2 linked regions of the Caenorhabditis elegans genome follow. The protein of the gene in region 1 interacts with the protein of each later gene in a pairwise test. Each region holds a gene or a part of one and is shown on either strand. Other genes may lie near its edges.

What was found.
Region 2: the proteins of T26A8.4 (region 1) and E02H4.2 interact in a two-hybrid assay, tested with the Caenorhabditis elegans proteins (one large-scale study listed by BioGRID).

What each region holds. Positions count from the first base shown.
Region 1 is NC_003282.8:8,428,434-8,433,460, reverse strand, and holds T26A8.4 (C3H1-type domain-containing protein), read left to right. Parts: upstream 1-1,967; 5' UTR 1,968-1,970; coding exon 1,971-2,250; intron 2,251-2,441; coding exon 2,442-2,794; intron 2,795-2,850; coding exon 2,851-3,118; intron 3,119-3,171; coding exon 3,172-3,596; intron 3,597-3,642; coding exon 3,643-4,041; 3' UTR 4,042-4,500; downstream 4,501-5,027. Other genes in the region: pdtf-1 (Permeability-Determining Transcription Factor), read right to left, coding at 1-32, 87-223, 277-319; tmem-231 (Transmembrane protein 231), read right to left, coding at 4,949-5,027.
Region 2 is NC_003284.9:14,276,431-14,283,557, reverse strand, and holds E02H4.2 (MIF4G domain-containing protein), read left to right. Parts: upstream 1-1,931; 5' UTR 1,932-1,958; coding exon 1,959-2,075; intron 2,076-2,504; coding exon 2,505-2,666; intron 2,667-2,720; coding exon 2,721-2,783; intron 2,784-2,826; coding exon 2,827-2,922; intron 2,923-3,015; coding exon 3,016-3,132; intron 3,133-3,928; coding exon 3,929-4,012; intron 4,013-4,055; coding exon 4,056-4,272; intron 4,273-4,326; coding exon 4,327-5,095; intron 5,096-5,143; coding exon 5,144-5,233; intron 5,234-5,337; coding exon 5,338-5,394; intron 5,395-5,441; coding exon 5,442-5,522; intron 5,523-6,160; coding exon 6,161-6,194; 3' UTR 6,195-6,436; downstream 6,437-7,127. Other genes in the region: Degenerin del-1, read right to left, coding at 6,518-6,672, 6,724-6,848, 7,032-7,127.

The sequences.
Region 1 (5,027 bases):
TTTTGGCGTTTATTCGATGAAAGTAAGTTATTCTGCAAATTATTCAATTTATCGTTGTGGAAAAGCTTTCGATACAAACGTGATACCCTATCAAAAACCAAATCTTCGTCATCGTCCTCATCATCATCTGACATTGAAGCTGTTAGTTTTACATCCACAAATTTTTTTTCCGCCACTGAAGAGGTTGTTTCTCGTTTTGGGCTCCGTTCGTGTGAGTCGAGAACTATAATTTCAGATAATTTATTTCGTTTGTAAACAAACAATTTTGAAACTCACTTCCAAGCTGTGATAAGATGTGTGAATCGTCATGAAAACTCATGGACTTAACCCGTCGTGATTTTCTGTAAAAATCGATTTTCCCTGATTCGATTTATTTATTCTTAAATTGTTCAGAAGCTTGAAAAATCGAACAGTTGGCAATTTGGAAAAAAATAAAGTAAAAATAACACACGTGAAACGAGTGTTACCGTACTCCTCTGTCCCACCGGGACATGAGAGCAATGTCTGCGTCTCTGACTGGTTTTACACTGCGGAGCGGCTGCGTCACGGTCTTCAGACGCGCGGTTTGCTTCGCTTGCAAGTCGTCTCGTGTGATTTTCGAAAACATTAATGCTGGTGTCCGCCACGACGGCACTCCGGAGAATTCATATACTCATTTTCTGTTTCTTTTTTGTGGCACAAACTTCTAACAAACATTTTAGGTGAATTTGGCGAAAAAGAATATGGGAGTAAAATTAAATGATCCGACTGGGCGAAAGCTTATGTAAAAGCCAGAAAAACGTGTGCAATCCCTTGAAAATTAATTGCAGAGAAGGTGAAGAGAATTTGAAGAAATTATACTCTGAAATATTCTGAAAATTGGAGGTATTTGATAAATATTCAAAGCTCAATAAAGCTGGTAATCGCTCGGAAAAATGAACGTTGGAAATTTAATCTAGTGTCAAATTCGATTGTTTCGAAAAAATTTGCTAATTTTAGGTGAATTAGTCTAGCTATTTCCAGTTTTTGTTAAATTTGCCACGCTACGTTCAATTTCTTTAGATATTATTTTCCTTGTAACGCGCCTAGCCCAAAACGTGTTTCGTAACGAAATTCGTATTCGTAAGCCCATTTCCCTTGATCGATATTCAATGTTAGAGTGTGTAAACTGAAGAGACGCTGCCGATTAGTAGAGTTGTTTGCGCTGAGAGAGAGAAATGACGGGGGCCTCTCTTTCCACTCTTCCCTTCTCCCTCGTGGTCGATTTTGACGGGTTGCGATAGTCACTTGAGCGAATAGCAGCAGTATGACAACGCGCTTGCTGTATACATTCTTTCTGTGGTTTTCGTCATCATCAATCCTTTTTCTAACATACAAGAATAGTTTCCAAATGGTAACAAAAAGTTAAGCATAATTGGAGAAAAAATGACGAAAAATTGGTTAATTGAATTTTAACGAGTTTGAAAGATCAACATTGATCTGAAATAGTTCGAAGAATTTAAAAGCAACTGAAAAACTGAAGTTATTGATATGAAAAGACGGTTTGTTTGAGTTCCAGATTTGAGCATTCTAGACTGAAATTCCAACGTTCAAGATTCCAAGAAGCTATACATTTTTATGTTTTAAAGCTTTTCGAAATAGTTGATTTTTAATTCGAGAAAAAATTCATCCCAAAACTCTGTTCAAATTTCCTACATTATGGGCGGAGTCTGCGCGACCAATGGGCGCTCATGCCGTTTCTATCGTAGACAACATGAGAATGCTCCTCCCACTGCAACTGTGACTTGAAAATTGAGAGAACGAACTGAAATATGTAAATAATCACAAAGATCCGGAAAAGGGAATCACGGAGGAAAACATGAATTTTCATTATCTTTTTATTTCTTTTCTTGCTTTTTATTAGAGCTTGAGAAGTGAACACCGCTTTAACTTTTTATTATGAAAATCCGTAAAACCGGGTATAAATCCAATCATTACAATTATTCTAGATCATGACGGACATCATATCTCAAAATGAAAATAAAGACGATTTCGAAGATGGTGAACTTCCTGAGGACGGTGAAATATGTGATGATGAAGATGAATCTGTAAAAGCAGTGCCCTCCAAATCATCAGAATCAGCTCCAGGTGCTCATATTGCTCCAGCACATCCTGAGAAAACAAGTGGTCGGGATTCACGAGAACGAGTCAGGCGGTTTGAAGGGAATAGTCCTCCGAGAGAGCGAGATCCGGATCCGTTTGGATCTCACAATGATGCTCCGGATGGAAATGGTAAATGTTTCTCTGAATTTTTTGAAAGTCTAACGTCTGATTTGTGAATTAAATTTATCCGATCCGATAATTATCCCGGCAACTGTTTATTCTACGAAATTTAGAGTGTAACCTCTCTTGTTTTTTATTGACGCATTAATAAATGGGAATAATTTTCGAGTGCTGAAAAGGAGAAATTTAATAATTTTCAGATTATTTCGGTGGAGATAAAGACTATCGTAGCGGAGCAGCAGCTTCGTCAGAAGAAGAACCATTCAGTGATACTGATTATCGTGTAAATCGGCGGAGACGCTTATCCCCTTCCCACGACGACGGAGACTTTGACCCGAGATCAAAACGGCCATACTATGGAGGACGAGGAGGATTCCGGGGTGGCTTCCGGAATGGAGCGAAGCCAAGATTTCAAACAGAACATCAGATCTGCAAGTTTTTCCGAGAAGGTTATTGTAGAGACGGTGACAATTGTTTGTACTCTCACCAAGCCGAAGATTCACTGAGACGGCCTGTTCTGTGCAACTTTTATGCTAATAGTTTTTGTAAAAAGGTTAGTTTCAGAAAAAAAAACCAACTTTTCATTTTAAAATACTAATTCTTGTTCAGGGTCTACAATGTCTTATGCTCCATGGAGAATTCCCATGCAAATCCTTCCACAAAGGACAATGCAACCATGATCCATGTAGATTTTCTCACGTTCCCCTGACGGACTATACCCGACCAATCATTGAGAAGATTCTAGCAGACGAAGAAGCCCGGCAGGCTCATCAAGCGCAGCAGGCTCAAACATACAGACAGAATCCAGTGGCAAATGCTGCTGCTGCCGCTGCAGCTGCACAAGTAATGCCAAGAAGGAGAGTTCTCCTCCCTGGAGGTAAGCAGAAAATCGAAATCACTTTTCCATAATAATTATTCAAAAATGTTCAGGCCCTAATATGAATGGTTCATCTCCACCCCACGCAACGCCTGTGATACATGCTCCGATCCCTCAAGCATCTCATCCAAGTCAACTTCCACCACCAGCAGTTGTTGTGCCAACCATTCAACGAAACCCTGGACCAGGAATTCCAATACATCAGCAATACCCTGTTGCTCCAGCAGCTGGAGGATATTTCAATCAAGGGCCACGGCCCGAACAAGTTCAAGGACTTCCACCGCCACGAACAATTGAGCCACCTAGGCTGAGTACTCAAACTCCTCCTATAATGCATCAACAGCAACCACAACTAATGAGGCCTATGCATCCAGTTCCAATTCAACATCCACATCTTCAGCAGCCTGGATTAGTTCAGCCACCGCAAATAGTCTCTCAAGAACGACATACTGCATCACCACAAGGATTCAATTTAGAGGTAAGAATATTGAGAAAGCTTTCATTTAACAATATTTATTTTTCAGGCAATGCTTAACAAGATGGCCAATGGCGAAAAGCTCATATCAAGTCCTCGGAACAACGTGGTCGACGATTCTCCAGCCTCGCCTCCTCCGTCCAACTATTCCAGCATGTTTGGATCATCGAATCGTGTAGCAGTCATACCACAAACAGTGCAAGTCACTTGGGGACTAGTTCGTGTTCAAAGGCGACTTCCGTACTCAAATGTTGAGAACCCTGATCGTATAGCTGCCAATGATCCAAGAAGAGCCAAAGCAATCGCCAAACAGTTTGATGCTTTCAGCTCATTGCTGGGCGCTGGAGGGAATGCCGTATCAGATCCAAGACTTCGGGCACAGAAAGAGAAAAATGATCGTCAACAAAATACAATGCCATTTTCCTCGTGGATGCCTCAAATATCTTAATTTTTATTGTAATTATTCAATGTCTACTGAAAACATTAGTTTATCTTTTAAACAAAACAATTACAAGTTTAGATTCATGTGAGTGTATCACATTTTTCAATCTTTCAATTGATCTGGTCTCTTCATATTGCCTGTTAATGTTTAGTTCTTTCTTAAAGTTTTCATTTATGATTTTGTGAAAAATTTGCAAAACCTTTCCTGTCTTCAACGAGTTTATCTGGACATTTGAGGCTTTTCAAAAAAATTTTCCACTCACAGACGATACTGGTACGATCCCTGTTCCAATCCACTCCCCGAACTGCTGGCATTTTATTTTTAATCAGTTATCAAGTTCCACAAATGATGCTCACTTTTCTGATATGTGTAAAATTGTGTTTCAACCATTTATACTGATGTTTTCTTCACTTCTTTTTAACTTGTATAAGATGAGAACATATTTTGAATGAAGAATGATTTATTAAAACTTGGACTTGTTATTATATTTGAAAAAAATCATCAATTGTAGCCGGAAATGTCAAAAAGAGAGGGTGTTCCTTTCCACTGCACAGATACCTCATTCTGCGCCTCTTCGTCTCACACGCACTCTCGTTTAGCGGCACACACAAAACTTAGTTGACGGCGGAACCTGAAGAGTGTCGGCCGCGCCGTTTTGTTGCCTCAGCACACTTTCACCCTTTCTCCAGTCTTCAGTATGGGTCAATCTCTGATCTGCAACTGAATATGATGAGTTCGGGCGATGATCTTCTGTGATTACATCGCACGGCGAGGTGGGAACGCAATACCCGCCTGCCAGCCCGATTCTGAACCAAGTTGCCTAGAAATATTTTGGAAACATAAGACTCTTTTAGAGTTATTTATATGAATTACATCTTGTTGTGTTCAATTTGATGTGTTTGTTCATTAAAGCTTAACGAACAACATCGTTGACATAAAATACACGATTTCTAAACATATACGAAGTACATGAGGTAAAAACGTAATCAACA
Region 2 (7,127 bases), on another chromosome or scaffold:
ACAACAAAATGCCAATATTATCACTCACATAAAACTCATGTTGACTTTCTCTGGTTTTGACGTCTTTCTATTTACAATTACTAGACAATTAGAAAGAAAGAGACCTCTGGATTTTTAATTTTAAAAATTCAAATTCTCATAATAGACAGCATTTGTTTTTTTGTGAAGTTTTTTCCCAACAAAAGATGTACGCGGAACGTTTTCACAAATTGACATTGTTTTGTTTTCCCTAAAACCATTAACTTCCGACATGTCTCTGTTGGCTTTTCTTCTAGTCACCATCAAGACGACATAACATTTCAATGTATAAAATGGAATTAACAAATTTTATTGAAACTTCAATTTTCTCTTGTAGTTTTGTATCAAAGTGCCTAACTTTGTTTCAAAAAATTTCCACACTAACATTCAATCAAAGGTATTTTTAAACTTCGAGCTAGAAGTTTGTATTTTTGTTTCAAAATACATCATCTTACTTTATTCTTTTCTAGTTGCAAAATCCTAAAGTTCAAATGATGCATAATTGAGTGTATGCTTGTTCAGTTTTGCTGCATATTACCAAAACTAATTATGCTTCTGATTGTTTTAAGGTTACAACACTTTGAATTTGCGTCAATTGTTTTACAATTCTTTATATAGATTTTTAATTGAGTTAAAAATCACCGACTTCCGTTTTAAAATGCCCCTATTCTTACAAAAATTTTAAATTGAATTATCCGCACAATTTATTGTGTGCCATGCCTGTTTATATTACCAAACTGTCATATTTTCTTATGCACTGTAATTTTAACAATGTAAAGTTTTTCACTCGACGTACTATTTTTTTTTGAATTGCAGTAAATTTTGCAATATTTTTGTTTTTGAAAAACTGGCAACCTGAGGAAAACGGAACTGTTTTGTAACTTCAAAGAAGCAATTTTAGAAATTTGCAAAAGTCTGAATTCTAAAATTCTAGTTCAAATCCTTGTGATGTATAAATTATCCTGTCATCTTGGAGATTTTGGATAACATTTTGAATGTATCAAAATGTTAGAATCTGGTTTCTCGTGAAAAATTAAATTTCATTACATCTCAGAATGTTTCACGATTTTGATCTACATCTAATATATATAACAGGTAAACTTGTTCAAAAATTGATTTTATAATAGTTTATATTATGGGCAGCCCGTGAAGCTTGAAATGAGTAATTTAAAAAAATAAATCCGCTGCACGTTTAGCTTAATACTTGAAAAAAAGTTGAACAGTTCTATCTCATCAAATACATCTTTAATCTCTTTTTTTTTGACTTTTGCTTTGTTGCCATAAAGCTATTTCAAAATTGTACCATATGGCAAATGAATGCTTTTAAGGTTTGTTGTTGAACAAGAATATTCGTTAGCCCTCTTTTCGGAAATGTATGCGCTTACATATGATCTTTCAAAACTCCGCCTCTTTTCTGTCTGCGCCATAGCTTCTCTGTGCTCTCTTTTCTACAGTCAAATGTCTTATGCTCATTTTTTTTCAGTTGTGGATCTTGATGTCTCCTCCTTTCCGTTCTCTCGATTTTATTTTTTGCTATTCTTTGGAAAGGCGTCAATTTATTATAGGCAACGCGTGAGCTAAATTTTGAACTTTAGTATAAAAAAAGCGACGAAACAATGCGATACAAAAGCTTGTTCTCATTTACAAAACTGACATTTTACGTAGAGACTCAAGTCTTGGCAAAATTTTAATCACACGAAATTTTATAAAAGTCTGAAAAAAGCTGTGAATAATTTAGATAGCCTCGAACACATGCAGAAGTGTGCAAAACTGATAGAATGCTAATATAATGTTTGAAAATTTTTAACAGTGTGTACCTAGATTTAGTCACTAAAGTATGTGCTATGTTACAATTCTTCTATTTTTTTTTCATATATCCTTTTATTCACTGGTGGGCCATAAAAATATATCTCAGATTGATCATATTTAAATCTCAAACGATGGAAGCCAATTCTAACAGAATAAGCTTTGTGAACCCAACTCAGACCCCACAATACGGTTTAAATGAAGAATTCAAAGGAGATCCACAGTCAACGATTAAAAGTCCAGAAACGCGGGTATGTTTTTTTTCAATCTTTTGAGAGATATAAACTGTGCTTGTTTTAAAGTAAATGGAAAAAATATGAGACATGGTCTTGCGAGCATTTTTTGTTTTTGCCAGTTTAGTGGGGATGAATGTTTACCACTGTCCTTAATTTTGTGACAGATGTTCTTCCTCGTACCGCACCGGCACGAGCACTGGCCGGTGTTTTTTTTTCAAAATCTCCACTCACACTAAAACATGAATAACACCAGTTGCTTTTGTTGATTAATGCTCGATTTTCAAGTTATGCAAAAAAAAAAATTAAGGGACTTAATGAAAATGCGTGCAATGAAAATGAAAGAGTATTTTGCTGTGCTCACATGGAGATACAGAATATCATTGGTTCATCCTCACCCAAAAATTTAAAAATTTTTAATTTATAATATTTTGAGTGGATTTCCAGCTTCCTGCCAAGTATGAACGTTTTGCTCCACAGATGACTACATACTACACATTCCCTCCAGCGAACCCGGCGTTTTTCTCGCAACCGATGTATCCCCAAAGTTCGTGGATTCCGGAAACTCAAAATCCTTTAGTGTATTTTCAAGGTGCTCCCGTGGTGCAGGTAATTTAAACCAGATAATTATAAATTTAAATGTTGTTTCATGTTTGAATTCAGGATTATTCTACATTTTCATCAGCCCCATACCCATCTCAACCACCCAATAATTGGAATGTTCAGGTTCGGACTTTTATTGACACATTTCGAAATTAAAATGTTACAGAATTTTACAAGCTACCAATATGCAAACCAAAATCACCCAGCACAACTGCCACATCAAAAATACTACAATTCCGAGCAATATGCTTTACAAAGTCAGGTAAAAATCAGAATTTCAATTGAGAACAATTACGTGGCATTCCACATTTTTTAAACCTACCATAATCAGACCATGGACGGAAAATTTATTCAGCCATGTAATCAATACCAAATGAACAAGTTGTGTTGTGTATCTCCTCCTTATCAGTACCAACCAAGGACTCCAAATGCTCAAAGCTCGCCGAACCTGAAGGACCTGAATTATTTGGATGTAAGAAAGAAGTTTAATGTTTTACAATTAAATTGAATACGTTCAGTAAAAAAGTAGTGATTTTGGAAGTTATTGTAATAAAAAAAATAGGTCGGAATGAAAAATATAAAAGGTTGACTCAGAAAACTCGAAAGCTGATGCTCACTTAAAAAAAATCGGAATTTTCCTGCAATCGGCAATTTTGGCAATTGTCAGTTTTCAAATATTTTGGCAATTTTGGCGATTGTCGGTTTTCAAATATTTCGGCAATCGGGGATTCCGAAAATTGCCGAAATTGCTGATTGCCGGACATTTTCGGCAATTTTCAAACATAATTATAACTCAAAAAATGAAAAAAAAAATCACCTTGTTAGTATTTGGTTAGTCATTTTCTAATAGATAACGGCCAAAACTTTCAGGATTTAAACATTTTAAGCTTGAAAAGAAAACATCTTCTTTTAAATGCATGTTTAGACTCAAAAATTTACAAAACGTATTAAATTTATGTTCCCGGCAATTCTGGCTTCCGGCAATCGGTAATTCCGACAATTGCCGGTTTTCAACATTTTCGGCAATCGGCAATTGCGGCAATTGCCAAAACTGCCGAAATTGGCGAAAATTCGATTGCCAAACGACAATTGCCGCCACCTCTGTTTCAAATGTAATTTTGCCCTTTCCGTAAAAAAATAATCAATACGTTCATTGTTCATCTCTCCTTGAGATCGTAACAAAACTACCTAAGTGAAATATAATTTTATTTAAATTTTAACTAGTGTCAAAAAAAAAAATTTCATGAAAATCTTAATCATCTTTACAGCATTTGACTCCGTTTTTATTCCCACCGGACATTACTTCTCAATACAGAAAACATAATTGCCGAGGAAACAACCGTAACTCCAAGGTATCAATATTGATTTATTTCATTTTTGAATTGAGTTATTTAGACTAGCAATTTCCGGAGAAACGACAGGAAAAACCAACATGGCCATAACCAAAACCGTTCAAATCAAGTATCCAGACAGCATTTGCCAAACAATAATGCATCATCTTCATCCTCCTCATCAGGTGTCGTTTCCGAATTACCGCTGTCTCCTAACAAGACTGAGCTTAAAATTGTCATATCTCATGGAAATGAAACAGTTTGTGTTCTGAAAACAAAAGGTAACAAGAGTCCGATACAATTTTTTTCTGTTTTTAAATTCATCTCTCGTTCAGATATTGATGGATGCAACGCTCAACAACTTTCGAATGTTGTTGAAATTCCTATGGTACTTGCTCCCTCCCTCTCAATACAATCTACTGACTCGTTCAACTCGGCTTACGAAGATGCCGAAGAATCTTTAATTCAACCACAAACTAAAAAGAATGAAGGTGACGCTTATGGAAAATATAATTCAACGCTCACAAATTGTCAAACAAGGAACCAATCGGAGAAAATGAAATCATCGCAATGCTTGATCGCAGATGTCGCCGAGAATGAGAGCCCGAATGAGACAGGGCCTGCTGAATTCAATATTTTTTGTACTGTACCGGAACAATCTTCTAAACGCTCAGAGCCCGACGTTATAGTTTCTGCTGCAAAATCAGTTACTGAAGTTGAAAATACAATACTTGCTGAACATGATACCGCTACTGCTGAAAACTTTTCGAACAACGATGAACCAATTCTTCTTAGCGTTACTAATCTTCACGATGAAACAAATAACAAATCAATAGATGTATCACTGAATCACCCATTGCCACCTTCGACAGAAACTGGAGTTGTCAGCGGCAAAGTTTCACAATTGGAGGCACCAATCAGTACAATTGTGCAGGAAACGATCCGAATCCTCGCCGAGAGAAATCTACTCCGTGACATCAATGACTTTCATCAAGAAATACATTTGAATGTCATGCAAGAAAATATTGGACAGTCTCTAGATCATGCTGCAATAGAAAATGAGGAACATCCAGAAACTGAAAGTTCCTTTGAAAGTTCAAGCGGGTAAGTTTTTTTAAAATGAAATTTCTTACGAATATTATGATACTCCAGTAGTTCCAACCCTTCTGTCCCCATTGAGATTGATCAAAAAATGCAATTCAACAAAAACAATCCATGGGAAAAATTGGAACAATATACTCCGTGAGTTTACAATAAATATTAATTGAAAACAAATTATTATTTTTGACATTCATGAAATTCAATTTAAGTTCTGAGTTCAACCGCCATTGTCATTAAAATTTCAGACCTTCAATCATTATAGTCTCGTGCGCAGATTCTTCACAAAGCCCACACAAAGCTTCGTAAGTTGACAACGGAAGTATTTTTTATAATGCACATCATGTTTTAGAACTCTCAAAAACCCCGGTTACGGCTGCTGTTCGGGCATTGGCAAGAAATCAAAATACAATAAGAAAGTTGACAAGAAAGAGTGAGTTGAACTAATGTGAAGAATGGTAAACTTGCATACAAACCAGACTTTTAGTCCTGAAAACGATGTTACAAGAATAACATAGGCATAGCTGTTTCGGAGTAAACCCCGGCCCTGATACTGAATAGGAACTAAAAAAAATATTTTACTTATTCACTCATTTGTTACTGAATCATTAACACTTATTAAAAAACCACCTGATCATGAGAATGCATACCGTTCTGGCGCGCGAATATCTCGTAGCGAAGGCACCTAAATCTTACATTTTTGAATGATATCTCGTTGCCGCTTTTTTTTTTCAGAAAATAGGCATTCTCATGAATTCGTGGTTTTTTAATAATTAATCATTCAAATGTGGCGAAAACATCTTGATAGTTTTTTCCTTTTTTTCCTGGGCAGTTATGTTGTCTGTGTACTCTACAGGTTCACTTCTCTCTACAGGCTCACAGGCCATTCTCGAGGGAAAACCTGTCAAGATGTTGTAACGTAGAAATTGAATGTATCAACTATGTTGGTGTAATAACTACTAACTAGCATAGTTGGTACATCATCAATCTTTATGACGTTGGTCGGAAGGATTCATGGCACTACTGATTTGACGTGAAAGTGGATAACGGGACTGAAAATAAATTTTACAGAGTTCTCCACTTGACAAACTTTCAACTAAACTAAGCAACGGAGCTGTGCGTTTCATTCTATCTGTTTTTGTGTTTTTTAGCTCATTCTCATTTTCCTGTATTCTTCAATTACTTTGTTTGTATAATTTTCGTTTAGCAAAATTTGGAATCCCAGTTCGAAATCCGGCCACACAAATCTTCTCTTCAACATTATGTGTATTCAACAGCAACCTTTCCATGTTTTCTCTTGAATATCAACTTTTTACGGTCAAAGTTGATCAAAATAAAATGTATCTTCTTGTGGATTTTTTATGAGCCCGAGTAGACTGTTTGAAAAAAACCTGTTTATTCACATTTGAATTCCACAGAGATCAAAAATCAATTATTATTTGTGGATACTCCTTTTTCCGCATCATTCAATTCTTCAGCTCGTAATAATTCCGTTTTCTGCCTCCATCTTCTTGGCTTACATGCAATTCCAAGAGTTCGGACAGCGAAGAATAAAAACTCAATCACGCTCATAATGCTTGCGCCTGAAAAATTCACTTTTTGAATTGCGAGTTACTCAAATTGTTTAAAATCACCTAAAAACAAGCCAGCTTGGCCACCCATATCGGCCATCAAGTTGAACCAAGAATACGACTCAGATTCTCTCAATATCTCATAGCTCATTTGTTCATAATAAATTTCAATCATTGCGGCGTGTTCTCTGAAAATCGATTTTTTGTCATTAACTGTCAACTAATTTATTTGAGAATAAATGTATTTTAGAAACAAAACCATTTTTCAAGTTACATGTTATATCCAAAAATTCTTTAAAAAAATGTTTTCTGATATTTGCCGAGACATGATTATTATCAGGTTTTTACATAGAGTTTAAAACAGTGCAAACCTTAAATAAGAATTGCAATCTTTTGAATGATTGTCACACGATGTTTGTATACTTCCGCTCGGCCACTTTGCTGCTGAATACGTTGTTGTGTATTGA